Oryctolagus cuniculus: one gene and its partner. The protein of the gene in region 1 purifies or fractionates together with the protein of each later gene. This does not show direct contact. Links are inferred from orthologs where the notes say so. Each region holds a gene or a part of one and is shown on either strand. Other genes may lie near its edges.

What was found.
Region 2: the proteins of UQCRFS1 (region 1) and LYRM7 purify together in Homo sapiens (co-immunoprecipitation; 5 studies listed by BioGRID and IntAct, with this or other methods). This does not show direct contact. The link is inferred for Oryctolagus cuniculus from reciprocal best matches to the Homo sapiens genes UQCRFS1 and LYRM7.

Annotation. Positions count from the first base shown.
Region 1 is NC_091449.1:26,888,099-26,892,624, forward strand, and holds the start of UQCRFS1 (cytochrome b-c1 complex subunit Rieske, mitochondrial), read left to right. Parts: upstream 1-1,709; 5' UTR 1,710-1,830; coding exon 1,831-2,044; intron 2,045-4,526.
Region 2 is NC_091437.1:19,886,988-19,891,577, forward strand, and holds the start of LYRM7 (complex III assembly factor LYRM7), read left to right. Parts: upstream 1-1,732; 5' UTR 1,733-1,897; intron 1,898-4,590. Other genes in the region: adenosine 5'-monophosphoramidase HINT1, read right to left, coding at 1,471-1,581.

The DNA of each region.
Region 1 (4,526 bases):
ACTGCTATCCCAGGCAATAGCAGAGTTGGATCGGAAGTGGAGCAGCTGGGTCTAGAACTGGCGTCCATATGGGATGCTGGTGCTTCAGGCCAGGGCTTTAACCTGCTGCCACAGCACCAGCCCCGAGGTAGATACTATTATCCCCATTTTATAGAAGAAAGACTGAGGCACACAGAGGTTACATAAGTTGCCCTAGCACACAGCTAGTGAGTGGCAGGATTGGAATTGATTCCACAGAGTCTGAGCTAACAATTTCTGCTCTGTGCAGCCCAGGCTGTGAGGGTCTGTCAAGGCTCTCTCCCTCATTCTTTCTTTCTTTACTCCTCTCCACCTCAGAGAGCTACTGTGAATAAGAGCTGTCAGGTGTGAAGCACTCCAACTACACATGGTGTGTGGTAGTTGTCTGGAGGGTTTGTTTTTACCCTCAGTGCTGGTGGGGTTAGCTCAGCACTGGTCACGTGGCAAGCCTAGTCGGGGGGCTCCTGGGGAAGCAGCTTCGGGAGCTGGGCCTTGCAGAGGGTCTAATGAAGCTCAAAGGGGTTAGTGGCCAGTGTGCTGTGGACCTGGGGCGAGGGTCAGAAGTGAGTCAACAGAGATCCCAGGTGTCTTCAGAGTAGGTAGCCTTTCCCTGTAAACAATGCTAGCAAGCCCTCACCAGACGCTTCACAGGGAGCAAACGGGTGCATAGGAGAGGTCAGCAAGAACGTGCCCCACCTCCGAGCCTGTGCATAGCACAGCACTGAGAAGCACTGGTCACCGTACCACAATTCCGCCAAATCTGTGCACAGCTTGTGTTGACGAGGCAGGGCAGAAGCAGACGCCATGAACCCCTCCCTAACTCACATGGATCCAGCTCCAGCTCCCAACCAGGAGCAAGGAACAAAAGACTCCCTGTCGTCTTGTTAGGGACTTCCCCAGCCTCCACGCAGGCCCAGAAAAGCCCACTGTAACTCAAATGGGACCTGCTTGGACGGTGACAGTGAGCTGCTTGGACGGTGACAGTGAGCAACAGCACCATTTTGAGTTTGTGTGAAAAAAAAAAAAAAAAAAAAGCAATAGTGCCAGCACAGAACTTGGAACTGGCTGCAAAGCGAAGAGCCATGTGCAGAGGGCAGAATCACCCAACCCTAGGAAAGTTCAGCTCCCTTCAGGGATCCAGTGCTGCCTCCCTTGCACTGGAATGCAAGGCCCCAGTGAAATTTGTCAGCCTGGGTGGGTAACATTACTTTCTCATTATGTAAATTAACTATTTTGGCCTAAATAAACAAAAAGGAAATTATATCACTATAGCTAAACGAAAGAATGCAGGTGAAGCATAAAACCCAACACATAGCAGATGCATTTAAACCACTATCAGTGCATAGGTCCCTGTCCTTTCTAAATTTTTATTTTTTTGTTAGCAGATGATACACATTAAAGACACACATAATGGGAACTATTATCAGTATTTCAGCTATTACAACTTGTTCTTATTCTGAAATCATCCTATATGAAGTTTTGTCTTAAAAGACCTCAAAATCGGCCCACCGGACATTCTCTCAGGTCTCTAGGGTCTCTGCAAATTCTTTCGTCCCCGCTGTCCGGAGCAAACTCGCGCGTAACACACAGCAGGGCCAAGCAGGGACAGAAAGGACGGCAAGCTCCACCCCACCTCCGCCCCGCCCCCAGCGCGTGGTCGTAGCCCCGCCCCTGGCGCAACACCGCCCGCCGAGTCCTCTCTGGACGGCGCGATGACGTCACAGGTCCTGCGCCATCTGCGCTTCCTCGCGCCTGCGCCGCGGGCGGAAGGTCGTCCCTGTGACCGGCTTGGCGGTTGAAGCTGCTGTCGCCATGTTGTCGGTCGCCGCCCGCTCCGGCCCGTTCGCGCCGGTCCTGTCGGCCACGTCCCGCGGGGTGGCGGGCGCGCTGCGGCCCCTGGTGCAGGCCGCGGTGCCCGCCACCCCGGAACCGCCTGTGCTGGACGTGAAGCGACCCTTCCTGTGCCGGGAGTCGCTGAGTGGCCAGGCCGTGGGCCGGCCTCTGGTCGTCTCCGTGGGCCTCAATGGTGAGCCGGGCTGAGGAGTCACCCCCTTCTCGCTTCCTTCAGTCCTGGACCCAGGGAGCGGGCGAGGAGGGCGGGTGTCTGCGGGAAGGTGGAGCGGAGCCGTGTCAGGGTGGATCGGGCGGCCGGCCCGGCGCGACCTTGGGCAGGCCCTTGCACCTCCCGGCCCAGCGCCCTCACCTGTGTCGGATGCCGCTGCGTTGGGCGTCTCGAGTGATGCTCCAGCTCTGGCGTCCCCGGCCCCTGGGAGTCCTTTCTTGGCGGGGCGGGGTGGGTTTCCCAGGTTTAGGCCGAACCAGCTGCTTCCACCGAGGCTGATAGCGATGTTGCTTACAGGTCATTTGACTTTGGGCACGTTTTCAAGAGTTTTCCTACCTGTGAAATGGGTTCATGGTTATATCAATTTCGCAGGAATCTTGTGAGGCTTAGATGGAAACATTTTATGTAAAGCCATTGGCATGGTCTAGACATTTAATACTTGCTTTAAAAGAAAAGGAACTATTATTTGTATTTGGGAAGTTGTCCACCTCACCTCTAATATCTTCGGTTTATTTTTTCCATCACCCCCCCCCCCCCAAAAAAAAAAAAAAAAAACTCTCTCCGAAACAACACAGCCCAAAGATGCGTTACAGTGTGATGTGTCAGCAGTGTTTTCAGGCACCTGACCAAAGGGTTCTCACAACATAATCCATTTAACCTCAAGAAGAGTCAGATTAATAATGCTCCCATTTTACAGATAAGAGAGCGGACCACAAGAGGTAAAGTGGCTTACCCGAGGATAAGTGTGGATACATGGTGTGTGGACATGGTAGAACATGGGTGTGACAAGACTGATAATCTTAACCCAGGGCTCTTCCCAGAGATGTATTTCACACTCTGTCAGTAGGTTGCAGATTCTGTGCCTTATTTTCCGTTTCACTTTGCATCTTGGAGACCCTGAAATGGTATGCTGTCGACCATAGGTATGCTGGCAGTACAGGCTCTGGTTTCTCCATGGGTAAAGTCGGTAGTGTGCTGTGTATTAGCTGCTCCCATAGCTGGCTGTGCCCAGTTCGTCACAGTCTTTACCAGTCTGCCTGGCTCCTTGAGTTTGTGACTCCTTCCCTACAAGCTTACCAAGTTGCCTCTCTCTCTTGTTATTCTGCTTTCATGAACGCGATTCTCTGCACTTTCAGTGATTCTCCTGCTGATTTTCACATGTCCCAAGTCCTACCTGCCCTCTCAGTCTGAGTTTAGGATCAGATCAATCACATTTTAGGTTTGCTGATTTCTTTGTCTTCATAGCATATAACGCTTCCTACTCTGTGTTTATTAGGTGATTTCTCTGACCTTGATCTAAAAGGCGATGAGAGTGTTGTCTTTGTCCTCACAGCCTTGGCACAGTTGGCACAAAATATTTGTAATCGAATGTTTTTTAAGGAGCACCAGTGTGTTTTGATGGAGAAGCTGTCTAGGGCAGGGATGGACTACCCTGGCTCATTCCAAGCCTGTTCTTGAGATCTAGAGGTGAGAAAGAAGAGAGGAGAAAATTCAAACGGTGAAAATGAAAAACATCTTTGGAGTTTATTGGTTGGCCAAAGGTTTTCTTCTAAAAATTGGAGGCTTATGTGCCCTATGGAACTATTTTTCCTAAAACAAGCAAATGATTTAGAACCATAGGGAAAACCCCTTTTTTCCTGCGATCATGCCTTCAGCTTGTAGCTTAAGTTCACATAAAATCTCCTGTCTTGATGGTTTATGGGAAGACGGTAGTGAGAGTAGAGGAGGTGTTGGATCAGGAGAATATAATTTTATCTGGGGAGGATGGTTGAACTGTAGTAGCATCTCTTTAATGTGAAAGATTTCCAAGGCACATCAGAACTCACTTTAAAATAAAACCAAAAAGGGCGAAGGGGCAAGCAGGGTAAGCCACTGCTCTGCTTCCAATCCAGCTTCCTGCTAATATACCTACCTGGGAAAGCAGCAGAAAATGACCCAAGTGCTTGCGCCCCTGCCACCCAGGTATGAGAGACCTGGGTGGAATTCTGGGCTCCTGGCTTTGGCCTGGTCTGCCCCAGCTAATGGGGCCATTTGGGGGAGTGAGTGGAAATTTGTCTCTCCTCCTCTTGCTGTAACTCCACCTTTCAAAATAATAAACAACCTGTTTTGTTAAAGTGCCTTACATTTTCTCTATTTCTAGATGGTAGTTCTAGCTGATTTGGTTTGGGTTAAACTAAATTTTGCATCTATGCTACTAAAAGTCAGGCTTAATGTGGCTCATATAAATTATTTAGATAATGGTTTTTGCACATGGTAATTTTTCCTACAAGATTCTTGTTGGTATGGCATAATAAAGTATGACCTGCAAGATAGAGTGGGACAGCTATGTTTTGTTTGCCGCCAAATCTGAATGAGATGGCAAAGCCATTTTATTTAGTATTCTAGTACCTTGTGTACATTAGGGTTAAGGTTATGGATGTTGTTTTTAATGTAGAAGAATGAATTT
Region 2 (4,590 bases), on another chromosome or scaffold:
CTCTTCCAGGCCAGCTCTCTGCTGTGGCCAGGGAGTGCAGTGGAGGATGGCCCAGGTTCTAGGGCCCTGCACCCCATGGGAGACCAGAATAAGTATCTGGCTCCTGCCATCGGATCAGCGCGATGAGCCAGCCGCAGCGGCCATTGGAGGGTGAACCAACGGCAAAGGAAGACCTTTCTCTCTGTCTCTCTCTCTCACTGTCCACTCTGCCTGTCAAAAAAAAAAAAAAAGAAAGAAAGAAAAGAAATAGGCCCATTTTCTTTTGTGGAACTGAGCAGTTTAAGTAGCATGTAGACAAATTCGCAACCACACTGGAAGCGTCTGTTCCTAAACCTACGACATGATTGTTTTCGTGCCCTCGGCTCTCTACTGATGCTTAAAGCCACCCGTGTGTATGTGTCTTTGGGGAAACCTTACCGGGCACGCCCTACAAAATGCTGCATCATTTAGAATGCTTCATGCTGTGGTTCAAACGTCAGTATTTCGAATATCATTCATAATACTTAACTGTGGACTTTTAGATAGAAATCATGCTTCTAAAACAAAAGACCCTCCTAACGAGCGACAGATAATTTAATTTAAACGAATTTAAACGAAATTCACTTTTAAGGCACCGAATTCAATCTTAGTTAACGCTTTAAATCTAAGTAAACACTACTAGCAGCGTCAGATGAATTGTTTTCTTATACTGCCCATTTCTGACATATGTTTGCAGAAACTTCCTAACTAAACGAACCAAGCGTCTGGCCAAGCTGAGTACCTGAGATCCACACCCACAAATACCAAAGTCCGCTACACACTGGCAATTTACCCATCAACAGGGACTCCACCTCCAACGAAACCAACCAAATAAAACCTTCATTTTTAGCTCCTCGACGTACAAGCGTTTCCTGTCGAATATAAAAGCAATCTTCCGACCGCTTCTAAGCGCGGAAACCTTCGGCGGGGAACGTGGAGGGGAAGCGAGTCCCGGGCGTGGGCGCGGGCTTATCTCCGGGTCGGCCCGCCGAGCGGCCCCGCCGCGGCAGCCTGCAGGCCGCCGGCAGCACGCCAGGCGGAGCAGCGCCCCGGAACGGCCAGGGCAGGCCGGCTGTGCGCGGGAGATCGCGGAGATTGGGCCCGAGTCAGGGCGCGATCGGGTTTCTCCCTGTCAGGCAGAGCGCTGACGAGATTGCGAGATTCCTGACCCCGGCGAGGTCCCAGGCCGCCGGGAGCTGGCGGGCGAGCACGCCCGGGAGCCGGCGCGACCCGCACACGCGCCTGGGCCCCGCGGCGCGGCTCTGCGGACGCCCGGCGGCCGGGCCCGCGCCCGCCGCTGATAACGCGTAACCGGAGCGCCGGCACGCGCCGGCAGGCCGCCTCCGGGCGCCCGCGGCCCTGCCCGCTGGCGGGGGGCCCGTCCCTCGGCGGAAAGCCAGCGTGTCCCCGGGCCGCTGCCCCCCGCCCGGCGACGCGACGCCCGGTCCCTACCTGGTCATCCTCGAAAATGATTTTGGCTGGGATTTCCTTGCGGATGATCTTCCCGAAGATCGTGTCGCCACCAGGTCGGGCGACCTGAGCCTTGGCGATCTCATCTGCCATCTCGGGCTGCCTCCCGCGCACCGGCCACGGGAGAAGCGCAGAGAAGGGAGGAAGCCGCGGAGCCGGCAGAGGGCGGGAGCGCGCGGCCAAGCCTGCGCACCGACCGCAGCTCCCGGGCCCGAGCGCGCCCGCGCGTGCGCACCGGCGACCCGGGCGGCGGGTGCGGCCGGCGCGCGGGAGCCGCGAGGGAGCCGCCCCCAGGGACTGGCCGAGGTGGCTCCAGGGAGACGCACCCGCGCCGTATTTACTTATTCTTTTCTTGGATCCGCGGAAGTGGAGTCACGGATGTAAGCCCTTAATTCGCCTAGGCACGTTGGTGGGAAAAACTGAGTCCTGTAAGAGATTTGATAATTCAGGCTGGCTGAGGCCCCAGCTGCACTTCTCTGCAGCTTAAGGTCTTCGCCAGGGCAGTTAAACCCTCCATGCTTCAGCTCTCTTTGTCTAGCAGTGGTTCTCAACCTTGAATTCACATGAAAATTATTTGGGGAGCTTTTCAAAATCCTGAACCTGGCTGCACGCCAGAGCAATTAAATCAGAGTATCCAGTGGGGCGACTCAGGCATCAGTAGTTTGCAAGCCTCCCTAGAATGTTCTACAAAGTAGTTTGCCCAGCCGCCCTTCATACTGTAAGATGCTCCACCTTAACGGAACGAAACCTTCCTCAGTCCTGCATCTCCCTCCCTATCTCTTAGTTTTCCACATACTGTGTCTACTTTGCTCATCTCTCATTTCTTTTCAGATTTATTTTATTTATTTGAAAGGCAGGACGCTAGAAGGAGAGTGACAGAGATCTGCCATCTACTGGTTCACTCCCCATACGGTGGAAACAGCCCCGGATGGGCCAGGCAGAAGGCAGGAGTCAGGAACTCCATCCTGGTCTCCCACATGGGTGGCAGGAGCCCAAGTACTCGAGCCATCATCTGCTGCTTTCCCAGTCATATTAGCAGAGAGCTGGGTGTCAAGAGGAGCAGCCAGAACTCAAACGGTACTCCAGTATGAGATGGCAGCAGCACAGGCTTTGGCTTAATCCAGTGTACCCTAACACCAGCTCATCAACTTTGATTTTTGAGCCCATTTCCCTCTTGCTGAGGTCACTAGGGACCTCCACTTACAAAATCCTACAGGCAGCTCCAGTTCTCATCATGCTAGACCTCTCGGCATTATTTGCCACTACTGACCTTCAGCGACAGTCTTCATGCTCCCACCTGTCTGAATGTTCTGTCTCCTTCCCCGTGAGCCTCCAATTCCAGACCTCTCAGTGGGTGTACGCTTGGCCCTCTTCTCTAGCGAACACCCAGTTTCCAAGTGTCCTTCTTTAGGAAAATCAGCTATACCTCCTGAACTGCCCTGTGTGATTACAGCTTACCTGTGAAATTGTCTCTTAAATTAGTGATTCACTTTCATTTCAAAACTCCCATTTGCTGCTATCAGAGACATTACTGGGACATTTGATGAAATCTAAATAATGTTCATCTCTTACTAAGATAGTAAGAAATTGGAAGTCATGTTAACATCTCCTTTCATAGCCACAGCAAAATTATCAAAATCATTTGGTCTGGGATAGAGTCCTACGAATTGGAGTTCCTGCTGGCCCTGGAACCATACTTTGAGTACTGCTGCTGAAAGGGAATGCCTTTGCTTGCAGAGGAACAAAAACCCATGGAGGTATTTAGGAGTTGCAGAGTTTATGTCTGCAACTTGATTTCAAACAGCTCAGAGAGAGAGAGAGATTCCATATATACAAAAGTAGAAGAAAGGACAAAAGCATTTGCAGTGAAATGTTAACATTTGTGCAATCTGAGTAAAAAGTATATGCTCATTCTATGTATTATTCTTGCCACTTTTCTGTACCTTTGAAATGGTCAAAGTAAAAGGTTAAATCACAGACTGGGCGTTTGACCAGCAGTTAAGATCCTGCATTCCACAGTAGTTGAATGGCTCTGCCTCCTGACTTCAGTGAACATCCTGCTGACACAGACCCTGGGAGGCAGTGGTGATGGCTCAGGTGATTGGGTTCCTGCCACCTATATGGGAGAACTGAATTTTTTTTTTTTTTTTTTTGACAGGCAGAGTGGATAGTGAGAGAGAGAGACAGAGAGAAAGGTCTTCCTTTTTGCCGTTGGTTCACCCTCCAATGGCTGCCGCGGCCAGCGCGCTGCAGCCGGCGCACCGCGCTGATCCGAAGGCAGGAGCCAGGTGCTTCTCCTGGTCTCCCATGGGGTGCAGGGCCCAAGCACTTGGGCCATCCTCCATTGCCTTCCAGGGCCACAGCAGAGAGCTGGACTGGAAGAGGAGCAACCGGGACAGAATCCAGCGCCCCGACCGGAACTAGAACCGGGTGTGCCAGCGCCACAAGGCGGAGGATTAGCCTAGTGAGCTGCGGCGCCGGCCCTAGAGAACTGAATTGTGTTTCCCAATCCCAGCTGTGGTCCGCTTCAACTCTGGCCACTGTGGCCACTGGGCAGTGAACCAGTAAATGGAAAATTGTTCTATATGTCTCTTCTCTCTCTCTCTCTCTCTCTCTCTCTCTCTGTGTGTGTGTGTGTGTGTGTGACTCAAATTTTTTTTTTTTTAAATTGGAGTTCTACTTTTTTAAGTTTTTTTTTTAATCATCCACTTAAAAGGCAGAGCCACACTGAGAGAGAGAGCACGTGCTTCAGTGTGCTGGTTCACTCCCCAGATGCCTGCAACAACCAGGATGGACCAGGCCAAGATAGGAATCCATACTACACAGAGTATCCCACATGGATGCAGGGGCCCAAGCACTTGAGCCATCATCGGCTATCTCCCAAGGATTCAATAGCAGGAAACTGGAAATTATTTTCTTAAATGTTAAAAAAAGTGTGCTGGTTTAAATAATAAATACAGCCAACTCTCACTCAATCCAAAAGCTTAAATACCTATAGAGAAATTACTCCAAAGTACTTGTCTCCTGATCTGCCTGTTAACTTAATTTCAAAATGGTCTATGAAACACATGGCTACCTACTCACAACCCCCACTTGGATATA